2 linked regions of the Caenorhabditis elegans genome follow. The protein of the gene in region 1 interacts with the protein of each later gene in a biochemical or structural test. Each region holds a gene or a part of one and is shown on either strand. Other genes may lie near its edges. The genes, in order: ddx-19 and mpk-1.

The links.
Region 2: of the proteins of ddx-19 (region 1) and mpk-1, one has a biochemical effect on the other in vitro, tested with the Caenorhabditis elegans proteins (one study listed by BioGRID).

Annotation. Positions count from the first base shown.
Region 1 is NC_003280.10:8,882,956-8,890,412, reverse strand, and holds ddx-19 (RNA helicase), read right to left. Parts: upstream 5,515-7,457; 5' UTR 5,506-5,514; coding exon 5,440-5,505; intron 5,234-5,439; coding exon 5,182-5,233; intron 5,136-5,181; coding exon 5,025-5,135; intron 4,946-5,024; coding exon 3,719-4,945; intron 3,377-3,718; coding exon 3,319-3,376; intron 3,270-3,318; coding exon 3,211-3,269; intron 3,160-3,210; coding exon 3,053-3,159; intron 3,008-3,052; coding exon 2,721-3,007; intron 2,568-2,720; coding exon 2,291-2,567; intron 2,241-2,290; coding exon 2,116-2,240; intron 2,067-2,115; coding exon 1,956-2,066; intron 1,793-1,955; coding exon 1,714-1,792; intron 1,661-1,713; coding exon 1,216-1,660; intron 1,172-1,215; coding exon 1,107-1,171; 3' UTR 713-1,106; downstream 1-712. Other genes in the region: T07D4.5 (P53 and DNA damage-regulated protein 1), read left to right, coding at 6,084-6,275, 6,321-6,455, 6,501-6,602; rha-1 (ATP-dependent RNA helicase A), read left to right, coding at 6,754-6,924, 6,968-7,398, 7,456-7,457.
Region 2 is NC_003281.10:4,224,797-4,229,709, reverse strand, and holds the start of mpk-1 (Mitogen-activated protein kinase mpk-1), read left to right. Parts: upstream 1-1,615; coding exon 1,616-1,819; intron 1,820-4,913. Other genes in the region: F43C1.5 (uncharacterized protein), read right to left, coding at 23-162, 283-399, 445-513. UniProt on the Caenorhabditis elegans protein: Functions in let-60 Ras signaling pathway; acts downstream of lin-45 raf kinase, but before the lin-1 gene product in controlling vulval cell differentiation. Plays a negative role in proximal germline proliferation in the mitotic zone.

The sequences.
Region 1 (7,457 bases):
AGTTTCACGGAAAAAATGGTTTTAAAATACAGAATAGTGTTAGCCTTGAAAAAGTCCAGTAGAAAATACAAAAAAAATGCAGAGAAACGTAAAAATCTGCTAAAATAAAGCAAAAAAACGAGAATTTCCTCGAAGATAAAATAAAATTGTGAGGACCTACAGTAGTACACCTTAAAGGTACACACTCGAAATTGTTCGGTCGCTGCGAGACCAGTCGCCATAAATTCGTAATGAGCCTATTTTCTAAATAGAAGAATTTCTGTATTTTTTTTAGCGATTTCGAAGAAATATTTCTATGGTTGTAACAATAGTACAGTCAAGATGTATGAGTCACATGAAAAAAACGGTGGAATTTTCGTTGCTAAAGCAAAAAAACGTAGTGGCTACTGGCACCGAATACAAAAATTAAATAAAAGGGTTCATTTTGGAAGAGTAATGAGTCAGTCTCGATGGACAACATTGTTTTATCAGTTGAAAAGGAGTGTAGATAAATCAATGGTCCCGTCCATTTTCTTCTGATAACAATTGAGTTTGCATTGTGGCCAGAAGTGACCTGTCATGAAGGAAGAAGGAAGAGAACAGGCCTCCCTCCTAACAAAGATGTGAACTTGCCATTGTTTATCTTCCATATCGACAAACAAACGGCAGCAACGAATTTGAATAATGCAGGAAACAATTAAAAGCGGGAAGACGAACAAAAAATGAATATGTAAACCCGGAACTCGGGCAAAAAAAGTTTATTTTGGAAATATTTATTCGGATTCAAATAACAAGATAAAGGCGAAAACGAAAACTCACAAACAATCAACTCTAATAGAATATCTAGAACCGTTTTTGTTTCTAAAGCCTTCTCCACACATTGTAACAAAAATGGAGAATTTTACGTACCAGAACTGAAATACAAAGGAGATGATGATGATGGTGAAGTGTTAAGTATCCGCTTGGTTAATAAAATAATGAGAATATAAAAAAAAATGGAAAAGAGTCAACAATGTCAAGGAAAGCAAAAATTCGGGGCAAACTGTATTTGATAAGTGAAAAAGTAGATTGGTATATGGGGGAGTGGGAAACACTGACCCGCAGTAAAACGTATGAAATGTTGTAGATTATGCCATTTCTATGGCTTCTAGCTCTACCAAATTCGATGGATCCATTCGAGCGATCTTCATCTCTGAAAATAATATTTTAGTCATTGCAAAAAAATGTATTACTCACGGAAATGATTTTCGAGCACATTAATCATGTTCATCGAGTCTTCTGAATCGATCAAATTAATGGCAATACCAGTCTTTCCAAATCTTCCAGTTCTTCCAATACGGTGGAGGTAAGTTTCACAATCAGGTTGAGTGAATCCATCCACCACCATCGGAGTTCCTTCATCGGTGTACTTGATCGGAAGATCGTAATTAATCACCACCGACACCTGCGCTACATCAATTCCACGAGCAAACACGTTCGTCGTGATCAGAACTTTGAAGTCGCCGCGCTTGAAATGGATGATCGTATCAGCTCTCTCGACAACAGTCATATCTCCATGTAAAACATCAACTTGATGTCCTCTTGCTCTCATGTTCTCATACAACCACATAACACTAGCCTTCGTGTGACAGAAAATGACGGATGAGGCGACAGCGAGTCCACTGTAAAGGTTGACGATAGCCTGTAAATTGCATTGGTTTATAGATAAGCATTTTTATAAAACTGAAATCTAACCGCATATTTCGAATCTCTACAGGCGCATTGAACGTAGAACTGCTTAATGTTCGGCAATGCTTGTTCTTCACGTTTCAACCTGAAAGTTTGTTTTGGTTTTGGATTTACGAGGAAGAGGACACAATGGTGCTTCAAGAGCGGACCACCCACTGAGTTGTTACAATATTAATGAAGACACGAGTAAATAAACCGTTCCAAGCTTACATTACGATTTGGAAAGGGAGTGCATCTGTGAAACTTACATTACTACAATTGCATTCTTGATGATTTTTGTTGCGAAATTGATCACTGGTTCGTCGTACGTGGCTGAGAACAACATTGATTGGACAGAATCTGAAGCATCTTCGACCATACTGAAAAAAAGACAAGTAAATTATTATGTTGGTAAACAGTATTTCATACTTATAGATTGTAGTTGAGATATCAGTGAATCCTTGATGATAAATCATCACATCAGCTTCGTCAAGTACCAAGCAACGGATCTTGCTCGGATCAATGCACTTGTACTTTTGAAGGTAGTCGCGAGTCTTAAATGAAATAGTTATTCATTAGTTATTTCATAAACTAGTCAACTCACGATCCCTGGAGTTCCAATAACAATTTGTTCAGTAAGCTTTCGTCCTCTCATTGCAGCCATATTTCCTCCTTTGATCGCGTAGTGAATTTTCAAATTATCAATGAATTTTCCCATCTTCTCAACAACTTCTCCGATCTGCTTGGCCAATTCAAGAGTCGGTGCCAAACAAATGCACTGGGGGCACATCAGATTGACATCAATCCTGCAGAGCATGGTGAGCACAAATGCAGCAGTTTTTCCGGTACCGGATTGGGCTTGAGCAATAAGGTTGGATGGTCTGAAAAATAACGATTATAATAAAACTTTGAGGATATTTTAGTTAGCATCAAAACTGTCGCTTTTTGGATAATTTATTTTTAAACTAAAATCCAAAATTGTTGGCCGACACCATTGGTTTTCCCCCGTAAAATAAATGTATGAAAGAACTTACGGCTCCATAAGAAGAAGTGGTAAAGCTGTTTCTTGAATTCTAGTTGGGAACTGGAAATTCATCGTGTCAAGAGCCTTGAGTACTTCGGGTTTTAAACGAAGTTCACGGAAGGATGAGATTGAGTACAAAGGAGATTTTGGGTCTTGTCTTTGCACGTCAACGACAACGTCTTTCATCATCTTCACCTCCTTTTGAATGAACTTATTTAGCAAAGCAATATCTGCTGGAACTGGAACTTGTTCATGAGCTTCTTCTGTTGCCGGTTTCGTGAACTTGTACTTCGAATCCTAAAATAAAAATAGATTTCGATCGCTTACAATGAAATAAATTACCGGTTTCACAAATTGTTGTGCAGCTTGGTGTCCACCGTACTGAGGTGGTGTATCTCTTGGTCGTGGAACAAAAGCTGGATTTTGTTGTCCTCTTCCACGTCCCATAGCTGAAAATAAACAATGAGACAGAAAACGTGAAATGAATATTCAATAAATACATTGTCCTTGACCGGGGGCGCCGAAATCCATTTGCCCTCCGCCTGATCCACGTCCTCCTCTACAAATAAATCATAATTATTGTTATCGAGGGGGTCTGCTATCACTACCTGTACGCTCCTTGGAATCCTCCTCTCATTGGTTGTGATTGTCCTGGCATGATTGGAACTAGAAAAATATGAATTAATTAATTTATTTAGGAAAACGGGAGAATTGGTTGTGGGGTCAAGCAATGATGTGCAAAATTAGACATGCGTGCAATAAAATCCACAAAACTAAGCATTACCTTTTTTGAAACCAAAATTGATAAATTGATAACTGTTAAAGAGAACGTGAAATTTCGTGGATTTTAATTACATCGTGTTTAGGTGAAACACAAAGGGTAGGTTAATATCAAGCAAACAAGCAAGTCTTACACCAAAAATCTGGCAAAAATATTATTATCATTTGATAACCCGGGATTTCCTGGAATTTGGTATCTATAAAATATTCTTATACCCAAAAACATACCACTCGAGTTCTTCATTTCATTTTCCTTGAACTCTGGTTTGGTAGAGCTTGAATTTCCGCCAAATGGATTCTTTTGAGCAGGTTCGGATTTTGAATTGAAATTCGCTCCATATGGTCTGACGGAGCTCGATGTTTCTTGTTCAGTATTCGGATTTCGTGTTTCTACGAAAGGCAGACGCCCAGACTCATTACCAACTGAGGTATTGACCGTTGGAGCAGTTGATCTACCGAAACCTCCACCGACGACATGCTTATTGGCAGGAAGTTCAGACGATGAAGCAGCAAAAGATGGTTTCGATCCGAAAGCACCGCCTGAGGTATTTGATGGGTTTCTTAAGATTTCTGGTGGTGATAGGCTTTCAACATCTGGAACTTTTGTGGACTTGTTTCCGAAAGATCCTCCCATCGAAGAACTTCCTGTGACGGATGTTGAAGCTCCGAAGGCACCACCAAATGACGGCTTCGATGAGAAACTAGACGGTTGGTTTCCAAAACTTCCTCCAGCTGAAGTAGAAGTTGGTTTTGCTGCAAAACAGCTTGAAGATGAAGAAAGTGCAGAAGAATTGCTAGAGATATTCTCGTTTGATGGTTTCGATCCAAAGCTAGCCACAGTTCTCGATTGGGATGCTGATGCCGAAGAGCTGTTGAAAGACCCTCCAGCCGAAGCGGAAGACTTGATTCCAAAACTTTCTTCTGAACGAATAGATGCTACAACTGTAGAGGAACCAAAACTTCCTCCGGTTGTCGCTGGTGACTTCATAGATGAACCAAATCCGCCACCAACCGATTTCATTACCGGAACTTTAGGCATATCGTTGCTGACAATATTCGGAGATTTCACTCCAAATCCTCCACCAACAGACGGAGCAACGCTCGATGATTGTGTTTTTGCACCGAATGCTCCACCTTGAGAGATTGATGCTCCAAAACGTCCTCCAGTGGATGTCTTTGGTGTAGAATCTTCAAGATTCGTAGAAGTTTGCGGAATCGATCCACTCAGCGTTCTCGGGGCTAAAACTCCAAAACGTCCTCCTTCATGGTTATTCTTAATTATTGCTGGTGGACAAGGTGCCATGCTGCGGTTAGTGCCAAAGCCTCCACCACGTTTACATGCAGGTTTTTCTTTGTGAATTCCAACAGAAATTATATTACCTCCTCCAATGAGTTCTTCTGCTGAACCAAGTGGTGCACCACGGCCATCCACCCCTGCTTGGCCTCCGAATGAACCTAAAATTGCGATAGGGAAGTTAATAGGAACAAAAGGATAAATGGACACAGTACAAGCATAACAGATATAAACACTTACCACCAACACGGGTTCCCGAAGTTGATCCGAATGAAGTTTGAGGTGGTGGAGCATTACTGGCTTTTGGTCCGCCGAACATGCCTCCTCGGCTAATTCCCCATCCATTTGATCCTGTAAAAATAACTGTTAGGAAAGAAGTTTCTCCGATGAATCTTACCTTTATTCTCTTCATTTTGATCCATTTCCGAGCCTGATTGCACCTTTTCGGTCTGAAAGAAATTAATATATTCCGTTCCGCTGAAAAAATGCACTCGGTTTCCACGCACACATACAGGGAAGAAGCATGAAAATTGTGCGAGGTAGAAGCAAAAAGCAATTGTACAGTGCAAGAGAAAAGAGCCGAAACTCTCGGAACACGGACGGACAAACAGACAAACAATCACGAACACACATAGACATTAACAAATCCGACCACCTTTTCTGGCACTTCAAGCCCTTCCGATCGACACTGCTCGTCGAATGCAATACCCCAATCAGCCATTTTCGATCTGTTATGAGAACTACGATAATTCATTGTTAGTATTCAGGACAAATTAAAGATCGGAACACGAAATTGAAAAGAAAACATGTTGAGGCGAAATTTGGGTCGACACATGAACCCGAGAAGGGAGAGATTGCAGAAAGAAGATAGTTCTTTGGTTCATCGACAGGGTAGGAAATAGTTATTCTAGAAGTGTTTTCTCTATTTTGCCATTGATAATGCATGTAAACACATTGTTTGGTCAGGGAAGTACAAAATCTATCTTCTTTTTAGGGCATTTTTCCACAAAATATATGAAATTTAACTTTAAAATGTATTTTAAACATTTGAAGTTATAAAAATGACGCACACATGAAAGATAAATAGAATAAACAAACAAAAAATTAGGATCGACGCCAATAAAAACATCTGAAATTGAGATGAGCAATTTCGAAAATGGGTACGGTTGACAGTACACCGTACACAGTAATGCACACAATGCACCAGATCATACGACAAACATATCTTAATATTTAAATTTAGGATTTTTAACTTGCAAGTATCATGATATTCTTGCTAATTGTTATTTTTTAAAGAAAATGATCACTCACCTGTCTACTGGAATGGCTTTGAACAACGCAAAAACACCGCATGACCATCAAAAAGAGTTACGCGACAAAACTTCAGAGATAATTTACCTTTCAACGAAATTAAATCACGCCAAAGAAACATGTGTGAATCTGGATAATGAACGTCAGAAGTTTCGAGAAGTTAGCCGAAAAATCAAAGAGGTTTGTCTGTAAAACAATAATGCAAACTGAATAACTTATTTTCAGAAGGATATTGATCCAGTTTGGATATACAATGGAACGTGCTTCCTTCAAACAAGCCAAGCAAATAGTTTGAATATTTTGGAGAAAGATACGAAAACTGTCGAAGAAGTTCGTGGACAGATTCAAGAAGTTATCAAGGTAAAATAAAAATATTAATTCGATAATTGAATTGTTTTTTTACAGAAAGACATGGACACATTTCTCAAACTACACAAGAAGCGAAATCTAGAAGAACGTGGTTTCGGTTTAAAGCCATTGCTCAAAGACGGAAAATTAACTGATTAAATTATGAAATATCTGAATACGGGTCAATGAATTGATATTAAAATACTTAAATTTGTATTGTTATCCTGTTCTTGTATATCCGAGTTTAATTTCTCGTCTCTTTATTTGAACTATTCGCGACTTTTTAAATCTTGTTAAATATTATTTTTAGATGTCCAGAGACGTCAAAGAATTTCTATATGCTTGGTTAGGAAAGAATAAGTATGGAAATCCGACGTACGATACAAAAAGTGAAACCAGGAGTGGTAGGCAGAGATTCAAATGCGAACTTCGGATCACAGGATTTGGCTACACTGCTTTCGGAAATTCCACAAACAAAAAGGTTCGTGCTACTTGGGAAATCAGTTTTTATCAAAAGTTTTCAGGATGCTGCTACCAATGCTGCTCAAGATTTCTGCCAATACCTAGTCAGAGAAGGAAAAATGCAACAGAGTGATATTCCGACTCTAACGTCTTCGAGTCTTGAAGCTTCTTCCACGTGGCAAGATTCTGAAACTGCTACAATGTTTTGTGGTGGAGAAGATGGCAACTCGTTCCAAGAGTCACAGCAACCAATTCCACAAAAAAGATTTCCTTGGAGTAACAATGCATATCAACGTAACGAGGGCACACATGAACAATATATTACACAGAAAGCAGAAGAAATTGCTGCATCGGAAACTGTTGATCTAAAATCAGAAATTCATGGAGGATGGACGATGGAGAATTCAAAGAAAGCGCTGAATGAGTTTCTTCAAAAAATGAGACTTCCACAGGTTAACTATGGAACCAAAATTCGAGAATCAAACACCGTTAAGTAAGTTTTTCATATTAGAAGAATTACTTCATTTTTTTCATACCAAAATATTTACAGAA
Region 2 (4,913 bases), on another chromosome or scaffold:
TATAAATAATTTTATTTTCTACCTCGCAATTTCCACATCTGTAACCGTATCCAAAAATTTTTGATTTTCTCTCAGTTTTTCGTTTATTTCATGCCTTCGCTGCCTTAATTTTGTTAAGTCTCCTCCATGTGGAATAGATTCAGAAGTCGTTGTAGTTGGCGTCTGAAATTATTTTTGGAATTTATCGATCGAAATTTGAACAATTGAGATACAATATTCTCGCTGACAGTGCTTTCTCGTGTAGTAAAGCAATAATTTCTATAAACAAAAAAATTAACATACGTTATCATAAAGTAGCTCATTAATAGTGGCTGAAACATCTCCATCATATTTCCGTAGAACATATTCAATATGTGAATTGCTTAGACTGGGAAACATAGCTTGAAAGTCCAGCATTGCCTGAATATTTTGAAAATTTGTTGCCAAATTTGATTCTAGACGTACTCTATCAAAATCCAATAGTTCTTCTTCTACCACACCAGATCGGTCTTCATAGTCATCATAATCCGTCATTATTTCGTTAGAAAAAGCTGAAAAATAGTGTTGAAAATGAAATGAGTCAGCATTATGAAGAAGAACGCTCGTACAAATATTAAACATTTTGGGTGGGCGGTCAAAAAGAATGAGACAGTGTTGTGTGTGTACAATGGTGATTGTATTATCGGTCTGCGGTGAGAGAGTTATGAAAAAATACAGGGAAAATAGGCAGAATTTGGAGTGAAATTGCTAGTAAACTCGGAGTTTTTTTTTTGAAAAACTGCAAGTTAGAGTCTCTAAAGTTCGGAAAAAAGCTTTCTCTGACATCATAAATGATTTTTGCTCTTTTTTACTTCAACATAGTGATTTGGGAAACCATACAAAAGATAAATGGCTTCAAAACAGGAACAATATTATGCATTTTCTGACGAAGCTAATTAATTGACGAGGAGAAACTCATAGACTTTTTATTCATAAAAACAACTTTCGAATAGATTTTCTGCATTTTCTGTTTTTACATAGTTGGCCAGTTTTACTTTTACTGCGGGAAAAGTTCTATACGATTTTTTTTCCTTTATTTAGTGTATCCATTGAGCTAGAAAATACGAAAATTTGCCTTATGTCCCGAATATATCTGTAAAAAAAAACAGTGTTTAATTTTTCAATGATTTATTCAATTTCGCTGAAATATAAATACAAAATCGGCGGAAGGGAATTTGAATTTTTGCACTTTCTGGCAAAATTCATGGATTTTTATAATTTCACTTTTCATACATTTTTAAACAAAAAATGAAATAATAGTTAAATAATCGAATTTTGAACTGATTTTAAAGTTTCCGAAATTTTATTTCAGGTCGTCAAGTTTTCTTCACAAAAAAATCAAAAAAAAAATCATGGAGCCGTTTCTTTTATTTTTGCAAAATTGAAAAAAATCATTAAAAATTCAGAAAAAGAAATCTATAGTTTTTTTTAACAGTTAAATTTGGTAAATTGAGGGAATTTTCAAAAAAAGTTCCTTTGCAATATCAGAAATTTCTTTTCCGACGAAATATTTCACACTCTCAAATATTTTTATCCGTTGCCAGAACTTCTTCTTCATAAAACTAATAATTCTTTAATTTCAGAACCACGAAACATGATGCCAACGTGGATACCTAACAATTTGTGCGCACAGCCGACAACGAGAAATGCTAAACCACCATCGAACGGGCATCCACAAGCGACACAACAACAATCTGCTCCGGGATCATTGGCATACCGTAATTCGAGCAACATACCGAATGGAGCAACCAACCACGTCAGACAACAGAAATGGCAGTACACTCGTTCAGGACATAGAAAGGTACGAATGATAAGAAAATATGAAAAAAAAAGTTGGAGAAAAATAAACAAAAACAAGCATTTTTAGAAGCTGAAAAATATTAAAATGCTCTTTGGTCAGTTGGAAAATTTGAAATTTTTGCATTGAATTTCTACATTGAATTTAAATTAGAAAGTAAAAATACATTAAAAAATTAAGTCATTCAATTTAATTGCAAAATTCACAAAACGTTTTCAAAAAAGTGCACAATGTTCAAATAATCAGAACATAGCACGTAATCGGGTTGATTTGCCCATTGTGCTCCCATTATCGGGAAAATAAGTTGCGTATTGCATCAAAACCACTAACTTTGTACTTTTATTAGCCTATTAAGACTACCGTGACAGAGTACTGTGTGTGTGTGCTGGAAGAAAAGATTAGTGATGTGACGTTGATTGGTAGTTTTTGAATTGGAAAAGAGAGAAACGGAAGTGTGAAAGTTTGAATAGCTCAATGAAAATGGTTGATTTGAATGAAAAAATTCAAATTTTAAACCAGAAATTGTGCTTTGTGTTTTAAGCTTGAAGGTTTGATGATTTTTGCAGATTGACACTTCATTGACGTATTTAGTTTATACCGGAACACCTCTTAGAATCGTAGTTTTTCAACGAAATTTGAATTTCTGCTAGTAGAAAAAAACTGTTCACAACTTGAACATTTCGTATGTATCCCAAAATGCGATACCCGGTCTCGAAACGACACATTTTTTGGTAAATGCAAATAAGTGTGCGCCTTTAAAGAGTACTGTAATTTTAAACTTTGCTGTGTAATTTTCATCAAAATTTTTCGATAAAATTTTTTTTAACCTCAAATTAAAAAAAAGGTTTTTTTTTAATTATGAGAAAAACTATTTAAAAAATCGAAACTGGGTACCGTATTTTTTGGCGTAAAAATCCTAAAATTTCGCTACTGGGTAATAGTTGTATTTTCGAGGTTCCACTACAAATTACCGTAATCTGAGTGTCCCCCAAATTGAATATATTTGCATTCTTCTAAAGTTTCCAGTTAAGACATCTAAAATCTAATAGAATTAATTGAATTGGTCGTCTGATTGACATTCCAGCGTGCAAGCGGAGATTGGAGAGAAAAACAATGTTTTTTTTTCAAACCGAAAATCAGAACTTTTAAACGAACAAGGAAAAATCGAAAAGGAGTGTTCAAATACAAGAATCCATCTTCCGGAAGTTTTCTTCGTGCGTTTGGCCTAGATGACCCAGATTTTTCCTTTTTTCCGGACTTGAGCTACAGTTTACTGTACTTTGACACGTATTCCTTTGGGAACCCCGAGGATTTACACTAATAATTGATGTTGATCTATCTTCTACCCGCTTTCCATCAACAAACTATTATTTTGAAATCCCGTTGTGTACCCGGGTGAATGACTGACAGAGGTGTGAGGTACTTTGTGTATTATTTATGTTTCTCAAAATGAATGTAGATTGATTCATTGTAGTTTCACAGTATCGAAATTGAATTTTTCCGGAGTTAAAGTGTTCAGTAGTAGTTTTCAGAAACTAATTAGTTTTTTATCTAATAACTTCATACATCTGTTACAATTGTTGAATACCATTTTTTGTCATGATGAATCTATAGTTTCTTCTATATAGAATGAATGCGAACTCAACAGGAAATGAAAACAAAAATTCCGACTACCAATTTTTCCTTAAATTTGAGAATCTGATATTCAATTCTGAACCAGAAATCTGAAAATCTGGAATTTTACATCTGAAAAACCATGGAAATAAGTTGAAAAAGGCATTGAACATTATAAAACTCATATGTTCAATTGGCCAAATTCTCACTCGGAACGTTTCCAATATCCCGGAAGTTTTTGCAACTGAGACAAACTGAATTTCCCGACATTATTTCTCGAATTGAATCTTCTTTCAAAATTCTTACTCATTCGACAACACATATGTTTCAATTTTCCTCGGAATTGGGTGTGTTTTGTGTCGGATTTCCTCTCATTTTCGTTCGGTTTTTATTGTTGCGTGGAGAGCTGCATGGAAGAAAAAACCAATTTGATATGAAAGAAGAGCAACACTCATCATTCTTCTCCTCGGAATCGTAAAACCGTAATTGTACGCGTTGGTTTATTTGTCGATGAAGATGATGAGTAGGAGGAGATGAAGAAATTGAAGACGTTAGAAAGAAGAGAAAAGCGTAGAATTACACGCTTCGAAATTTGAGATTTAAGATGGAAATGCGGACGACAAGAAGAGCTCGTTCAAAAGATCGATTTTCATTAAAATTTTATATGGATTTCAAAAAAATTTCGGCAGGTTCTTTTCTACTTTGCGACTTTCAGAATTGAACTTGCTAGCTCCATATTCCGCATTAAATCTCATCGTAACATAAAAACGATTAATTTTCCAAACTCTAATAATTCATTTGTGAGAGATTTTTTTTTCTCTTTTCCATTTCATCGAAAATTCCGCGTTTTCTTAATCTCTGGATTTGTGATTTGGGCGAGAATCTCAGATTTTGCAAAAGAAAAAAGTGACGCGAGATTTTATTTACTCTCAAAAAATGATAGTTCGCAACTGCAAAAAGGAAAATAGAAAAGTATACTCCTTTTTTCTATGTCGAACTAAAAAGACATGCATCCTATATCCTTTAATTCGTTATTCGAACTTCATTAACGTGTTGTGCTCATCGGTGCAGATCCAGTCATTTGAATACTTTTTTCCCTTCCTCTTCGCCTCATTTAACTCAAAAAATGGAGAAACTCGTCTTTTCTTCTTTTTTTCCTTTTTCTCTACTCCAAAAAGGGCTTCTAAGTGTATTTGCACCACAACGTCTACATTAGTTGATGCTTCTCCTTGATGTCTCATCCGAAAATCGCCCCCTGTTTGCCCCCCGGAGATGGCTGAGAATAGAACACACGCATTGTTTGCCAAGGGAAGTCTACTGGCACTCACTCTGAAATCCTAACAAAACCAACCATTTGGCTACTGTTTGTTCATGTTTCGTTTGGAGAAGAAGAAATGAAGGCGGTTGTTGCACTTCATGGTTTTTATCGTTTTTTTTCAGTTTTGGTGGTAACAGTCGTTTTGAATTTTTGATACTTTTGTAT